Linked DNA regions of Cricetulus griseus. The protein of the gene in region 2 binds, or shares a complex with, the protein of the main gene of each other region. Links are inferred from orthologs where the notes say so. Each region holds a gene or a part of one and is shown on either strand. Other genes may lie near its edges.

Region 1 (3,561 bases), on a different chromosome or scaffold from region 2:
TACCTCCTTGAATTTTTTTAAGACTTATTTTTTATTTTTAATTATGGGTGTATGTGTTTCTGTGGAGAGGGTATTAATTACAATTGCCTGAATAGGCTAGAAGAAGGCATTGGGTTTCCTGGACCTGGGTTTACAGGAGGTTTTGAGTTTCTGGTTATGGGTGCTGAAAACCAAGCACAGGTCCCCTGCAAGAGCAGTGCCAACTCCTGCCTTATTTTCATATAAAAGTCTTTTTTTTTTTTTTTTTTTTTTAAGTAGCCAGGCCAGATGGTAGAGCCATAAAGCGGAGCTACTTGGGAGGCTAATAAGGGCATGAGCAGGGTTAGAGGGTTGGAAAATTAGTGCCTCCCTAAGTTAGTGAGTTGAAGGCCAGCTTAGGAAACTTTTCAAGACTGCCTTAAACATAAAACAAACAAAAACCCCTGTGTGTTGGGGTGGAGGGGGCGCATGGGCGCACGAATATATGTAAGATAAAAGGAAAATAGAACTCATCAAAAAATAGAAATTATTCTTTAATAAGGAAACCATTGCTTGGTAAATACATTGCTTACACTTTGTTAATCTTTTTTTAGCAGCACCTGCTGAACAGTATCTTCAGGAGAAACTGCCAGATGAAGTAGTTTTAAAAATTTTCTCTTACTTGCTGGAACAGGATCTTTGTAGAGCCGCTTGTGTGTGTAAACGCTTCAGTGAACTTGCTAATGATCCAATTTTGTGGTAAGTGTAAACCTCCTTGTTATCTTGAAATACAGTATGTGATGCCTAAAATGCCAAAATGTAGGGAAGTTGAAGTGTGAGTTTCTAGTTAGAGCTAAGTAGTTAAAAGAAAAATTAAAATGTTTATAGACTCTGTTACCTGATTATCATAAATGTGGAGAACTTGTCAACTCAAGAAATGTTTATAAACCAGTAATTGAAATGGTTTCGGCTGTTTATAAGTTGATTTAACAGCTGAGTGATTTGGGAAGAAATGTTTTATTTGTGCAGTCTGGTGTGGTGTTGAAGACAGAATCTTGTGTAGCCGAGGCTGCCCTTGAACTCCTGAAATCTGTCTGCCTCTGCATTTGCCTCCCAAGTGCTGGGATCAGAGGCATGTGTACAACCACCCACCCAGCCTGGTCTACAGAGTTAGTTCCAGGATAGCCAAGGCTACATAGAGAAGCCCTGTCTCAGAGAGGGAGAAGAAAGAAGGAGAGAGGGAGAGGGAGAGAGGAAAGAAAGAGATGCTCGGAAGAAAGTAGGGCACACCAGGAACATGGATATGAGTCATGTAAAGATATGCCCAAGTGTTGGTACAGGCTCCTCAAGGGCCTCATTTTTTGAAAGCAGGGCTAATTGGGCTGGTGGCACCAAACCTTTAATCCCAATCCCAGCAGAGACAGACAGAGTTCAAAGTCAGTTTGTTTGGTTTACAAAAAGAATACCAGCCTGGGCTACATATGAGACCTTGTCTCAAAAACAAAGTAAAAAAAAAAAAAAAAAAAAAAAAAATTTGGCTGGGTGATAGTGGTGTATAGTGTTGTATGCTTTTGATACCAGCATTCAGGAGTCAGAGGCAGACAGATCTCTGAGAGTTTGAAGCCAAGCCAACCTGCTCTCCAGCATGAATTCCATTATACAGAAAAGCTCTTGTCTGGGAATAAATAGGGCAGGGGGAGAGGAATCAGCCAAGTGTAATTTTAAAATAGTTCTTTAGACCTAGTAGTTCAGTGAGTATATATGTTACGTTATACATACCTGAAAAATAGTTATAGTTATAACTTTTTTTGTTTGTTTTTCAAGACAGGGTTTCTCTGTGGTTTTGGAGCCTCTTCTGGTACTAGCTCTTATAGACCAGGCTGGTCTTGAACTCACAGAGATCCACCTGCCTCTGCCTCCCCAGTGCTGGGATTAAAGGCGTGTGTGCCACCACCACCTGGCTTATATTTATAACTTTAAATACACATTCCCTTTAGCCTAGTCATTGTATTTATGAAAATGTTTTCACTTTTTGCACAGTTTTTCATAACCACATGTAAGTAATGAGTAGGGAAGTGGAAATGATCTCCTTCCAGCAGTAAGGAAACGAGGTAAGGTCTGGCACTAGGATTGGTCACTTGCCCTTTCTGAGGGCCTGGTTGGGTTCCCAGCAGCACCACACACACACACACACACACACACACACACACACACACACACACTCTCCTCCCAGAAGTCCTGCAAACACACCTTTTACAAAAAGAGGGAAATGAGTGAACTGTATGATGCTGGTTAGAAGATTGAGATAAATCTGCTAGCCGTGAATTTTACTTTAGACAAAGTTAGGGGTTTTAAGTCAGGTCTGGTACACCCCTATAATCTTAGGGCTTGGATGGTAGAGGCAAGAGACTCAGTTCCCCAGCTCCATAGGAAAGTTGAGGTTGCCTGAAACTCTGTCCAAAAGAAACCAACATGAAACAAAAGGTGAACGGAGCAGAGTAAGGTTTGTTACCCTTTCAGAAGGGAAAGACACTTGCCACCAAGCCTCACAGCCTGCATTTGATGTCTGGATCCAGAAGTAGTCTCTGACCTTCACATGAGCATGGCATGTACATACTCCTCTAACCCACACAGAGATTTAAAAAAATAATTAAAACCTTTTAAAAAACATGTTTTATGCTGATTAATCAAAGAAAATGAACAATGTATAGGTAAAAAAGACTGGAAGAAAAATACGTCAAACATTAGTAATGAATGCATTGAAACTGTGTGCTATCTTTTATGCTTGGGTTTTATGGAGCAGGAGAGGAGAGTGTGTGTAGTCAGGGTCTTTTTGGTGTTTTGAGACAGGGTTTCTCTGTGAAACAGCTTTGGCTGTCCTAGAACTCACACTGTAAAGCAGGCTGACCTCAAATTGACAAAGATCCACCTGCCTCTTCCTCTGCCTCCCAAGTACTGGGATTAAGGGTACATGCCACCACTGCTGGCTTTTTTAAATTAAGAATTTCATAAAATATATTTTGTTAGCCAGGTGTAGTGACACATGTCTTAAATCCCAACACTCGAAGGCAGAGGCCGGTAGATCTTTAGTTCTAGGCCAATCTGGTCTACACAGTGAGTTCCAGGACAGCTAGAGGTACTTCGTGAGACCCTGTCTTGAGGGGAAAAAAAGGTATTTTGTCTGCATAGTGGCACACATCTGTGGTCCCAGGTACTCAGAAGGGTAAGGCAGGAGGCTCTCTTGAGCCCAGGAGTTTGGAGCCAGCCTGGACAACACAGAGGCCCTACACTGCCAGTGCCGTCTGAGGAACTGATCAGTTAACTAATTTCTATTATTTTGTTATTTAATTTATCTGTCCTTACTGAAATTTTGGTCATTCAGATGACATATTTAATATTTTATTAATCTAGAGAGTATTTTATAAGAAAATCTTTAATTCCTTTTTTCCCTTCAGGAAACGATTATATATGGAAGTATTTGAATATACCCGCCCTATGATGCATCCTGAACCTGGTAAATTCTACCAAATTAATCCAGAAGAATATGAACATCCAAATCCATGGAAAGAGAGTTTTCAGCAATTGGTATGAAATACAGAAAAT
Region 2 (4,324 bases):
CTACACAGAGAAACCAGTCCTGTAATGCCCAATATTTGGAAGACTAAGGCCAGGAGGATAATAAATTCAAGGACTGCCCAGGTTATATAATGAGTTCAAGCCAGCCTGGGAGAACTCAGTAAGGGCCTGCTTCAAAACAAAATACCAAAGAGGCTGTGGATATAGCTCAGTAGTATAATTACCTAACACTGTCCTCTCCTCCTGTCCAAAAGGTGAGCCAGTAAATAAGTACATGCCATAATCCCAGCATTTAGGCAACCAGAAGGATCAGGAGTCCAAAGCCATCTTGACACATAGGAAGGAAGTATGAGGCTAGCCTGGGTTTCATGAGACCCTGTCTCAAAAACGGAACTCAACAGCCCAAATCTCCAAAAATCTCATGGACTCAGATAAAATATGAGCCATTAGGAAAAATATAATTCATATATAAAAAAGGTAGGAAACCGAAAACTCCTAACATGACTTGAATTTGAGGGAAAGTAAAAAAAAAAATCTAAAACTAAAAGCTCAAAGCAAGCCTGAAATTTCTTATCACCTTCAGATTTCTCCCACATTGCTCCAAAGAGGATTAATTCAAGACCTCTTTAAAATTCATATGCAACTTTTTTTTAGGGGTTGTTTGTTTTTTGAGAAGGGGTTCTTCTGTGTAGCCCTGGCAGTCCTGGAACTTGCTCTGTAGACAGAGCTAGTCTTAAACTCAGAGATCTACCTGCCTCTGCCTCCAGTGCAGAGACTAAAGGTGTGTACCAAGCTTGACTCACAAGCAACTGTTAAAGTCTGTGATTTTGAGGTAGACAATCCTCCAATGTTACTATCTACTAACTTAAGGTACCTCTGAAGCTTTCTGATCTAGGTTGTATTAAGAAACAATGTGAAGCCAGCACTCGGGAGGCAGAGGCAGGCGGATCTCTGTGAGTTCAAGGCCAGCCTGGTCTCCAGAGCGAGTGCCAGGATAGGCTCCAAAGCTACACAGAGAAACCCTGGGGGGAGGGGGGCGACAATGTGAATTTTCACAAAAGCCTGGTGTTTGGCATTTAAAATAATTACTTCGCCCATTTTACCCTCACACACTTAAGACTCGACATCTCTTAAAATTCTCTTAAATTCAGCTTTCCTCCGACACTTGTCCCCATGCCTCAAGCAAACAAGCTGGGGCAGGGGTGAGCTAAATCATTTTACAATCATCCACTAAAATACCCAGCTCTCCCTCACCCATGGTTTGAGAGAATCAGATTTCACTTTTCCACTCACAAACATGTCTGCTTCTCCATGTTTCTCAGTGCTTGCCAATAATGCAGAACAGAGAAGCCCAGAGCAGCAGACCCTCCCTATAATAAGGCAACAACACAGTTAACAGTGAAGGGAGGCTAGTTTTTCATAGCAAAACATTACCTTCTTTCTATAGTCCCCAGTACTGTAACGAACACTCCAGAACAAGTCTAACTACGTAGTTGATAGAATTACTTTAAAAGCAACATCATTCCATATTTCCTTGAAATAATCCACAATAAGTAAAGATGTGCTTAGTCATAGTAGAATTCAGGTATTAGGTTGCTTGTGCGGGAGCCAGGATCTTATTAAATGACAGGGAGACAATCGGTTAATCTGTAATTCAATGCACTCTGTAATCCTAGACTTAACTTTCGGTGTTGTGTTGGAATTAAGTGCAAAATTTTCAAGTAATAATGCATGAGATTTCGACCTGACATGCTTTCAAAAAAATAATAATAATAAAAAAAACCTTCAGTTTTCTAACTCCTGGACTTGGAAATTAAACAACCTAAAGAATTCTAGTACACCAGACTTAAAAAACAATCTGTTTTTAAGTGACTCGAAATTCTGACACTTGCTATTAGACTGCAGGATGGAAGGGGCTGCATTGTTCTATGCCACAGACACATTCTACTGTGACATTCGGAAGAAAAACTGCAAGTCCCCAAACCTGCGGACTCCATTAAAAAAAAAGTGAACCAAAGGGCAGATGTCACACTATCCCTTTAAAGAACCCAGGCATCTCAAGTTTAGGAGTCGGAAGCTCCTAAAAGACACACCTCAGAGGACGGGGTCTGCTATTACAGTAGCTAAGTTCAGAGACTGCAGGACACGACAAAACAACGCAAAGAAATATCGAGTCTGTACCTGCAGTTTCGGTGGTAGAAGAAGCGAGACCAAAAGGGAGCTAGTGGCGCCAGATACAGGCGAGGGAGCCAAAAATCGAGCAGACTAACAACGACCGCCACCACCTGGGCGGCCAACCCCCCCTCCCCCCAAAACGCAGAGCGCCGCCGCCACCTGTCCTGGAGCGCGGGGCAGCAAACCTATCGCCCAGGCAGGCCCGGGCCGAAGCCTGGGCCTTGCAGCCGCGTTCGAGCCTGACTGACGCCGCCCTCAGAGCAGGCTCGTCACAGGGCTCCGCTCACACTCCTCGGGCGAGCGCCGTGAGGACACGCGGCCCGCGGAGGCCTGACTCGGCCGCCTCGCGCCTTCCGCGGTCCAGAGTCGGCAACGGGCCCCACAGTGCCTCAGGCTACGCCAGGCCGAGTCGCCGCCGCCGCCGCCTCGTGCAGGCCATAGCCACCCCGGGGCTCCACCACCGCCCGCCCTCCAGGGACCACGTCCTGGCCCAGCTCGCGGGCGGCTACTCACGGTGCTCGGTCGAGGCTGACGAGCAGCACTCAGACACGACGAGAAATACCGAGGACAAGGCCACTACAGCAACGCCTCGCGGCGGCCGGCTTTTATAGGAGCGGGAAGCGGGCGCCGAGGCCCCCGAGCTCGTGACGTCACACAGCCGGCCGGGCTGGCCGTTGAGATCGCCTGACGGTAGGCGGAGGGCGGCGCGCCAGACCCTGAGCGCTGCAGAGGCCTGCGGGAGAGATGCTGAGGGACATCGGGTGGATGGGCGGCTAGGCAGAGGAGGGGCTTCCGCCTTTCTCCTCTGCCCTCGAGAGCGCCATGCTCTCCTTCAGTGCGGACGCCGGCAGCGGCTGAGGTACCAACGCGACCCTAAGGGTCTTTCAGGCAGGGGCTGTCTTGAACTGCATGAAAGACGCCAGCCCTGAAAAGCCTGGAAACAACAAACCGCAAAAGCGGCTTATGTGTGTTTCACTTAACAGATTCACCTCGTTACTCTCCTAATAACCCAAAGAGGTGAGGTTGTGTTTGCCCACCAGGAATTCGGGATTTGAACCTTACTCCACTGATGCTAATTTAAAAAAAAAAAAAAAAAATCTCACGGCATGTTGAGACCAGGTGTCACTTCAGGCCTAAGAACTTGGGATACTCCTGACTTAGCACACCCTGCCTGTTTGATTGTAAGAGTTTTTTGTTGTTGTTTTGTCTTGTCTTGATGAGACAGTGTCTCGTGTAGTACAGGGTGGCCACAAATTTACTATGTAAACCAAATTGCTCTAAAACCCCCTGCTCTGGGATTGCAGGCCTGAAGTGTTTTGTTTTGAGACCGGTCTTGCTATGTAGACCAGGCTGCCTACCCCCGAGTGACAGCACTGGGATTACAGTCATGCACTACCTTGTTGGATATTTTTAAACATTTATTTCCTACCCTCGACCTTTGAAGAGCCTTCCAGACCCCAAATAGCCATTGTGTTAACGAAGCTCCAAGCCTAGAAAATGAAAACATCGTAATATGTATAATGTGAGAATACATTCTTTGTGTAACCATGCACTCAACCCTGTAGGTGAGGCCAGTGCTGGGATCTAGTAGTGAACCAGGGCAGTCAAGCCCAGCCTGAACAGACTGTGCTGTGTGAGCAGCTCACAGAAGGCTGTGATAAGGTCGCTAGGATGAAACAGCTTTGCAGTAAAGAGGGAGAGGCCTAAAAGCACCCATCTGGCCTCACCCAAGTCAGGAACTGTGCAATTGGTGGCTCTGCCCTGCCCTGCTGTGTCTAGGGAGCATCACTGTCCCCACCAAGGCGCCTGGCTCACCTAGCCAGCAAGCACGTGATAGTATTCCAGACACCACAAAGACAAAAGGCACTTCCACACAGGGCCTCCTAAAGAAACCAGAGACTACAGTTTCTCTAGGACAAGACTGGGCAGAGAGGTCAAGCAATGGCTTGGGTTACCAGGTCTTTGTCTGCGGGCTATGGTATCCAGTGTCTGCCAGGTGCCACTGCTGATGACAGAAGATGAAAGGCCCACATTTCTCAGGCTTTCTCTCTGCAGCACTGCCTGCCCTTCACAGCTCCTGCTTTGGGCCTCCTAGGTAAGGGCCACTGGAGAGCCTTTCTTCCACATGGAGGGCATCTTAAGCAGTACTGGGCAGTGCTGGGTCATATAGCTAGCTTAAGAACCCATCACA
Region 3 (3,561 bases), on a different chromosome or scaffold from region 2:
TCTACGTTTCAGGACACCTGAAGACACTAATGTCATTTAGAATTTTCAGATGAACCACATAACCTGACATTGCTCAGTGTTCTGAATTGAAAGATGCATTAGAGAAAAGTAAGAGTGTCCAATTAAACAAGCACAAAATAAACTGAACCAAAATAGAGGTTGCTGCTTAGTTCCCCGAAGTAAAGGACAATACAATCAAACACCCACACCTGAAGGGTAAAAGTTAGTTTATCTCTAGACTACAAATGTTAAATACCGTAACTTTCATTCCCAAGTAAATGTGTGTTTTATTGCATGCCAAAGGAGCTCTTAAGTTGCTATCATGTGGGCAAACAATGCACTAATCACAGCTCTCAAAATGAGGTTCCCAAACCACATGACAATGATCTGGATACTGGATACAAGCAAATTCTTATCCTAAACCAAACCATCTGAATTATAAAGTCGGTGAGTGGGAGGCGCAAGCTCTGCCTTTACACCCGCCTTGGTGAGGCTACTGAGCACAGTCTGAGGAGCACTGTTTTGGCTTAAAGTTTTCTTGAGTTTACAGTGACCACTTAACTATTATCAGGAGAGGCCAGAATAATCCCTGCTGTGTCCCTGCTTTCTAAATCAGAAATGGCAAAATACATCCCTGACAAAAAGTAATTTAAGTACAAATGAGTTCCATAAGTTGGATGTACCTGAGCTCTATCACTGGACTGTAAGTGACTATAAGGACTAAACACCAAGGACCCAGGCAGCCTACTATACAGAAGGACCTTTTACAATCTACTCAAATCACTTCTATTACAAGTTCTCCTATCTTACCAGAAGACAGATAGTATTTAGTAACAGCATAAAGGTCTAGGTGAAGACCACTGCTTACTACAGATTTAACCCAATTCCTTTAGCAAACAGGAAACAAAGGCAAGTCAGGCAATGACAGGCAATTCTATGCTTTTACTTTTTTGGGTTTTGTTTTTAACGTTTTTTTGTTTGTTTGTTTTTCAAGACAGGGTTTCTCTGTATAACAGTCCTAGCTGTCCTGGAATTCACTTTGTAGACCAGGCTGACCTCAAATTCATGGAGATCTGCCTGCCTCCGCCTCCCAAGTGCTGGGCTTAAAGGTGTGTGCCACCACTACCCGGCTGTTTTTAACATTTTTAAGAGAGAAGGCCTTACTATATACAGCCCAGGGAGGCCTCAAATAGTTGATTCTCTTGCCTCAGCCTCCCCAGTCCTAAAGTTACATGTGAGAGTCACCATGCCCGGCACATTTTCATCTTTTAACGCTAATTGTTAAAGAAAAATTTAGTATCAAGGATTCAGTGAGCATCCCAAAATACAACATGATAAACCCTTGTTCTCACACAAGCTCCTATGATTTCATATAACACTCTTCAAATCTCCAAATACCACCTTCCTTCACTCATCTCAGCATGACACATGCTCTCTCTCATCTCACCATTACACGTGCTCTTACTCGCCCCTTGTAACACTGAAATGAAGCAATCCCCCTCTTCCGTTTCCCTCTAAAATACACTCAAGTTGAAAAGTTCGATTCTATACCATCTTTAGATTTAGGGCTTTTTTTTTTTCTTTTTTAAAATGAAAACATATCAAAATAAGAAACACTTGCTGGGTGGTGGTGGCGAATGCCTTTAATCCCAGCACTCCGAAGGCAGAGGCAGGTAGATCTCAGAGTTCGAGGCCAGTCTGGTCTACAGAGTGAGTTCTAGGACAGCCAGAGCTACACCAAGAGACCCTGTCTTGAAAAACAAAATGAAACAAAAGCAGATAAAATAGCCAAGTAAGTTCTGCTCAGTAATCATTCCCCAATGTAGTGGTTCCTAACTTTTGTAATACTGTCTCATGTTGTGGTGACCTCAAACCATAAAATTATTTCATTGCTATTTCATAACTGTAACTTTGATACTGTTATGAGTTGTAATGTATGTATCGATAAGCAGGATATCTGATATGACCCCCCCCCCAAAGAGGTCAAAACCCAGAGACTGAGAACCACTGCCTTAATGTTAATGATACATTGCTCTTTCCTCAAATTTGTTGTTAACCATTCGCTGTTAACTTAAAACTTCAGTCAATTCATGCTCACTTAGTGACTGCTTTTGTTCTTTTAAGTAATTAATTGTAAAGGAGTATTTTAGTTCTATCGAATATTAAAAAATGTTTGCAATGGCTTCTAAGGTGTGCAATAATTTCAAAACTTTAAGCACTTTCCCTATAGAGTCAAATATTTTATAGACATAAGAAGTTGTATTGGTTAGAACATTAAAGCCTCTAAAAATGCTTTATTTTTAACAGAAGGAGTTAAAGTATTACCTTGAAGCTGACATACTGCAGATGGTTTGAATGCCTTTTAATAATCTGTTTGATCAGCTCTGGATGTGTAGCTTTCAAGTAAGATGTAGCTGGCTGATTCAGCTCAAATTCAAAACATCTCCACAAGTCAGGCATGTGAAACACCTGATTCCAATTCCGGCACACTTGGGAAGCATGAGCCCGATCAAGCAGAGGCAAGTACTTAAACACCTGGAGAATAATGTCCTGCAGCAGATTACCCCAATCACAAGGTTGAGAACACTCATGTGCAGTCCTCAGTTTCTTACGTTTCTCTGCAGTGCCTTCTTCAGGTGAGTCAAGGTCACTATCTCTTCCTCCTCGTTTCATCCTATTTAGAAAAATCCGTCATTTTTCCCATCCTACTTAGCTTTTAATCACAAATTCATTTTCTGTCACTGAGACCTATTTGCATTTGGAGAGTTAACAGAAATACACACAGAACTGAATCAATGATTCAAGGAGAATATAAAAATAGAGAGAGGTGATTTCAACCACTACTTATGACCTAAGAAAACCACAGATATATGATTCAAGAGTTGTACTCAATACTGAAAGTGACTAGAAAAGAGCCTATAGTGATACTTTCCAATTTCGTCAGTCACCCAAGGATAACTATATTTGAGTTCTTAAATGTCAAGTCGATCAAGGTGCCTATGAACCTCTAGAGAGGATGAAAGAAAGGTAAGTAGTCAACAGATCTACACTGAATAAATAGCTGTGACAAGTGCCAGTACGGCTGCATATGTCCAAACTTGGGCTAGAGCATAACCCAATGTTAAAGACCTTGCCCGAACCACTCCAGGCCTGTGCTCAACCTGGAACAGCATAAAACAGATTAAATAATTAAGGCAATCCACCTTGACTGCACTGTTTCAGCTGGAATGTGGTTTCTTCCCTCAACTCATTATTGTCACTCTGCTCTCCCTGTCTTTTCCTTTTTTCCTGAATAACACTTCCATGTGTTTTCTACATTACACACTTCATTCCATTTGCTTCTTGAAAAGATGATCTGCTCTCGTAGCCAATGGGACTAGAAGCTCTAAGACCAAGCTTCCTGAGTTTGAGTCTCTGCTCCCCTTCTCACTAGTTGTATGGCTTTGGGTAAATGACAAGACTGTCAGATGTTCCTGTTTGTAAAACGGTGACCTTAAGATACAGGGTTCTTGCTGGGCATTGGTGGCACACACCTTTAATCCCAGCAGGCGGATCTCTGGG
Region 4 (4,211 bases), on a different chromosome or scaffold from region 2:
ACTTTTTTTAATAAAGAAAATCCACAGGCAACACATTAAACTATTATACAGAAATATTTAACATAATCTGTAACAACTTAATAATTCGCTCTAAGTAAATTACTCAAAGCACAGAAAAACTGATTTGATGATCCTAAAGAAATCATTTTGTGAATATACTGTGTTTTACAAGTTCAATACTGGGAATAAAATTGAAATCTTTATGGTTTCTGGACATTCTCAGTCAATATCAAGAATACAGTGAAATAACATACTTTGTAGTTTTTAGCTTTAACCAAAAACTAGTTCTCATTTTGCAGTTTTACTGCAGGTTATTTGGATCAGATAACCTTGATCTATACAACTAAAAGAAAGATGACAATGGCAAACCTGGAAATGACAAACTAACCAAAACAACTCTTAGTTCTTTAAGGCTAGTCTGCCATCAAAAAAGTTATTTTCCCACTTCTGCTCACAAAGGACACCCAGAGAACCTTCCACTGGTCATTGGTAACTAGAAAAAATGATGGAAATTACTGTGCAGTTCTTTTTTCGTCATTAAATTGCTTTGGTCATAGTTAAGAAAACTGAAACTTTTAGTATTCTTGAGGAATATAAGCAATAATCTCATTAACTACATGCAATTAATTCAGAATTAATGACTTCTATACAATGCTGGGAACAAATCAGAGTCAATTTGAAATAAAACTATACCAAATTAAACATGCTTTATTAAACTGGCTATGCAAGAGGGAACATTTAACTACTGAGAAGAATCTTATTTGACTCATTTTATTTAAGTCAACTGCATTTCCAAAATTTGCTCAAATGTTCTCAAACACCAAAAAGAGACACAAAAATAATGGCTGTGCCCAGTGGGGTGACAAATGCCTGTAATTCTTGAACCTGGAAGGTGGAAGCAGGAAGCTCAGAAGTTCAAGGCCAGTCTGTGCAATGTAGTGAATTCTCAAGGCCAGCCTGGACTAGGGGAGAAAACTGTGTCAAAAAAAGTAGGAAAACAAAAGAATATTGTTTTTAAAGAGACTGAGTAGTACATTATAAATTTTGATAATCTGGATTGGTCATAATCCTTTGGCAACCTGAAACATCTTAAATACCAGAAAGCTCATATGGAAGTGTACAAACTGACAACATTTCCCATTATCACCAGAGAGTCTCTCGACTCCCTCTCGACAAAATCAGAGTAAAGCCTTGGATTTAATCAGTCCTCATTAAATTCCCCTTTTGCTTTTTAAGAAAAGTGGGGGAAAAGTTTTTCCTTGCCTGAAATTAAAGCATAGTGTGAGAAAAAAAAATCCAAAAAGTGGAGATTATAAAAACAAAACCACTAACTGAAAAATGCAAGATTATACTCTTCTGCTCAAGGGTTAACCAGTCGTTAAGTTTCTCCTAGATAAAAGAGATAATCACCCTCGTTGTACCCCACTCTCACCTGAGAGCTCAAAATTACACTTGATATCTGGGTTCCATGCTCAGACATCCAATATGAATGGGGTCGGATTTTAAAGAGCAACGAAGTGGAGAACCATGATCTAAACAGTGTGTTTAAAGGTACACCTGACTCGGACTGGGTTTGTTTGTTGTTTTGTTTTTTCTTTTCCCAAAATGGAGATAGAGAAAGGGTTGTCGGACAGTAATGCTAAGATCTGAAACTTCAAATTGCCGGTCTTCCTGTGACCTACCAATGAAGACACTGGGTTCTCTGGGTTGTAGGCCAACTCTTACTTGCTGTTAATATGGTGCTAATTCTGTGTAATTTCTGAAAATTCAACTTATGTCTGTGTTTAAGTAATAATTACTTAACAGCTATTTATTTGGTTCATTCTTACCAAACACAGGACGTGCCCAGAGTTTACACATATTTGACCTTCCAAACATAAACTGACAAATGGGAATTTTAAGAAACATTAGAAAAAGACCTTCAACTCATTTCCATAAAAGTAATTCAATTTAGGCGACATCAATTAAAAGTCCAAAACGAGTTTCACAGCAAACCAACTTTCCCTAAGGCCAACAGAGGAACAGCTAGCTGTCTTAAACCAAAATCAACAAGGACTAAATATTCGGGAAAAATAAAAGCTGGAAGGAAAAAAGGTAAACAGAAATGTAGCGTGCAGGTCTTCCCCGGCCCCTGCGTGCGGAACCAAACCAGTGCGACACTGGCAGGGAAAATAAACCCGCTCCGGTGGCTTCAAGACGCTGCCCATGGAGCCGGGAAGCAAGTCACAGGTCCAGGCGGGGGACGCAATGTTTGCAAAGCGACTCAAAGAGCCCGAAGGGGCCGGGCGGGCAGTCCCGCGGTGGCGAGCAACCGCAGAAGCGGCCTGCGGACGCGGACCGGGAGCTCCCGCGGGCGACCGACCCGGGTCTCTCCAACCCTGAAGGGACAGCGGCTGCGGCTCCGGGAGCGCCCCTCACCCCCGCACAGGCCAGACCCGCGAGCAGGACGCTGGGCAGGCGCCGCGCGCCCCGAAGGCACGTCCCAGGCCGCGGCCGGCGCGGGCTTCCCAGGGACCGGGCGGGAAGGTGCGGGAGGCGCGCGGCTGACGGGGCGCAGGCGGCTGATCGTACGGCCCCAACCCGGGGGCGGCGGGAGGCGCGCAGGCCAGGCCGCCCGGAACCCGCCCGCTCCTCCGCGCCGCCCTCCGCCCCGCGCTCCGTTACCTTGTCGCAGTAGCGCCCCACCAGCTGCTTCATCCGCCAGTGTGGGGCGGTGAAGACGTCCACTTCATCGGGGAAGGGAGCCATCGCCACAGCTTCAGCGTCCGCCTCAGCAGCCGCAGCCGCCGCCTCTCCATAGACACCCTCGCCGCGGGGCAGAGGCGGCGCGCCCCCCTGCGCATGCGCCCGCCCCGTCGGCGCGCGCGCCCGGGCCGCTCCGCGGCCGCTCCGCGGGAGCGCGCGGGCCGCCGCCATGCGATGCCGCAGCCCACGTGACCAGCGCGCGCCGAGGCGTACGGATTCCACCTCCCGTCTGCGTGCACGTTCCCCCCCTCTGCTGTGCAGAGACCTGACCGTGTCTTCTCCTAAAAGCGCAGTGTCTGAGGGCGGGGGTCTTCAAGGGTGCTCCTCCGTGACTTGAGGCGGGGCAGTTGACCTGCGTGGTCGGGTCGAGCCTAAGCTCTACGATCGGGGTGACTGTGAGCGCTCCGAGCGCCCAGCCGCCCTCGCTGCCTCGGGGTTTGCTAGGCCGGGGCTGCCGGCTCTGGGCCTCGCTAGCCGGGCCTCCGCGCTGTGGCTGAGGTCAGGAGACATGGCAGCCCCTTGTCTCGCCCCTGCGTGGAGCGTTGGTGTGAGGGTGGGAGGTTGGCCATGGGGAACTGGAGATGCCAGAAGGAGGACAGACACCCAGTACGGGAACAGCAACCCCAGAGCGGCCAGATGAGCCTGGTGGGGGAAGGGCGAGCCATCATGGCGGTCTAATAGGCAAACAGCCTTAGCACAAATCCCGCCATTTTAAACCGAAGGCGCTCAGACAAGAAGAAAGGGCCTTAAACGAGGTCACTGCCCAGAGAAAGGCCAGTAGGTCTCGCCCCTACACTTCACCTTTCCTCATCTAAGCCCTCCAGTATGCTTTTCCGACTTAATGGAAGCAGCTCTCATCTGTGGCTTTAGGACTGATAGAGAAATAGAGGAAACAAGGGCAAGGCTGAGAACCTGTGAATGATGTGCTAATTGCCACAAACTTCTGGACAGTAAACAGAAGATATGCGATATTCACCTTCCTACCCCCTACCACAAATTCATGACAACAGGTAAAAGGAATCAAATGTTCAAAAATGGGGTAGAAGGAGATAAGAAAGAACTCTAGAGCGAATCTGTGTAGTTCTAATCTTACCATTTGATATTAACATGCAAGATGAGCAGGAAAACAAGACTCCGGAGATGAAAATTAGGTTGTTTCACAAAACCCTAGTTGTATTTAACCTAGGAAAGCTACAGGACTTCTGTGCCCGACCTAAGTATATTATCTTCTGTAAAACGGGGGGCGGGAGGGAGTATCTTTATAAGATTTTAAGAGCTAAATTTATATATTTGAAGTGCTTATAGGAGTACCAGGCTCATAACAATGTCTGTAAACAGCGTTAGGAAATTAAGACTGTTGTTCTGCTGGAAGCTCCTCCTTAATCCCCCTCCCCCATCTCTCTCTCCCTAAACCCTGCTTCATTCCAGAAAGCCCATCAGCAGCTCCCCTCTGGAGATGCCAGGGA

Evidence for each region.
Region 1: Skp1 (region 2) and Fbxo11 share a complex: the UniProt entries of both Homo sapiens proteins name them as parts of the SCF(FBXO11) complex. The link is inferred for Cricetulus griseus from reciprocal best matches to the Homo sapiens genes SKP1 and FBXO11.
Region 3: the proteins of Skp1 (region 2) and Fbxl3 are in contact, whole or in part, in a crystal structure (PDB 4I6J), measured with the Homo sapiens proteins. The link is inferred for Cricetulus griseus from reciprocal best matches to the Homo sapiens genes SKP1 and FBXL3. Residues at the interface, in NP_733779.1 of Homo sapiens: Gln97, Leu100, Phe101, Ile104, Leu105, Asn108, Leu116, Asp117, Cys120, Lys121, Val123, Ala124, Ile127, Lys128, Gly129, Lys130, Pro132, Ile135, Arg136, Phe139, Ile141, Lys142, Asn143, Asp144, Phe145, Thr146, Glu149, Glu150, Val153, Arg154; in NP_036290.1 of Homo sapiens: Asp35, Trp36, Gly37, Leu39, Leu40, Ile43, Gln46, Val47, Tyr50, Leu51, Leu53, Leu54, Asp55, Ala57, His58, Ala59, Ser60, Gln61, Val62, Cys63, Arg64, Trp66, Asn67, Phe70, Glu82, Lys92, Ala93, Thr94, His95, Glu97.
Region 4: the proteins of Skp1 (region 2) and Fbxl5 are in contact, whole or in part, in a cryo-EM structure (PDB 6VCD), measured with the Homo sapiens proteins. The link is inferred for Cricetulus griseus from reciprocal best matches to the Homo sapiens genes SKP1 and FBXL5. Residues at the interface, in NP_733779.1 of Homo sapiens: Phe101, Ile104, Leu105, Asn108, Leu116, Asp117, Cys120, Lys121, Val123, Ala124, Ile127, Lys128, Gly129, Lys130, Pro132, Ile135, Arg136, Phe139, Ile141, Asp144, Phe145, Glu149, Val153, Arg154, Glu156, Asn157, Gln158, Trp159, Cys160; in NP_036293.1 of Homo sapiens: Ile205, His207, Leu208, Pro209, Val212, Ser215, Ile216, Tyr219, Leu220, Gln223, Glu224, Cys226, Arg227, Cys228, Ser229, Gln230, Val231, Ser232, Met233, Trp235, Ser236, Lys240, Trp245, Arg315, Leu316, Gly319, Leu320, Asn323, Val324, Tyr327.

What each region holds. Positions count from the first base shown.
Region 1 is NC_048598.1:89,623,494-89,627,054, reverse strand, and holds part of Fbxo11 (F-box only protein 11), read left to right. Parts: intron 1-572; coding exon 573-717; intron 718-3,413; coding exon 3,414-3,543; intron 3,544-3,561. UniProt on the Homo sapiens protein: Substrate recognition component of a SCF (SKP1-CUL1-F-box protein) E3 ubiquitin-protein ligase complex which mediates the ubiquitination and subsequent proteasomal degradation of target proteins, such as DTL/CDT2, BCL6, SNAI1 and PRDM1/BLIMP1.
Region 2 is NC_048600.1:66,399,209-66,403,532, reverse strand, and holds the start of Skp1 (S-phase kinase-associated protein 1), read right to left. Parts: upstream 2,801-4,324; 5' UTR 2,647-2,800; intron 1,545-2,646; exon of another isoform or gene 1,393-1,544; intron 1-1,392. UniProt on the Homo sapiens protein: Essential component of the SCF (SKP1-CUL1-F-box protein) ubiquitin ligase complex, which mediates the ubiquitination of proteins involved in cell cycle progression, signal transduction and transcription.
Region 3 is NW_023276807.1:254,746,679-254,750,239, forward strand, and holds part of Fbxl3 (F-box/LRR-repeat protein 3), read right to left. Parts: intron 2,675-3,561; 5' UTR 2,674-2,674; coding exon 2,326-2,673; intron 1-2,325. UniProt on the Homo sapiens protein: Substrate-recognition component of the SCF(FBXL3) E3 ubiquitin ligase complex involved in circadian rhythm function. Plays a key role in the maintenance of both the speed and the robustness of the circadian clock oscillation.
Region 4 is NW_023276807.1:112,389,052-112,393,262, forward strand, and holds the start of Fbxl5 (F-box/LRR-repeat protein 5), read right to left. Parts: upstream 2,837-4,211; 5' UTR 2,749-2,836; coding exon 2,665-2,748; intron 1-2,664.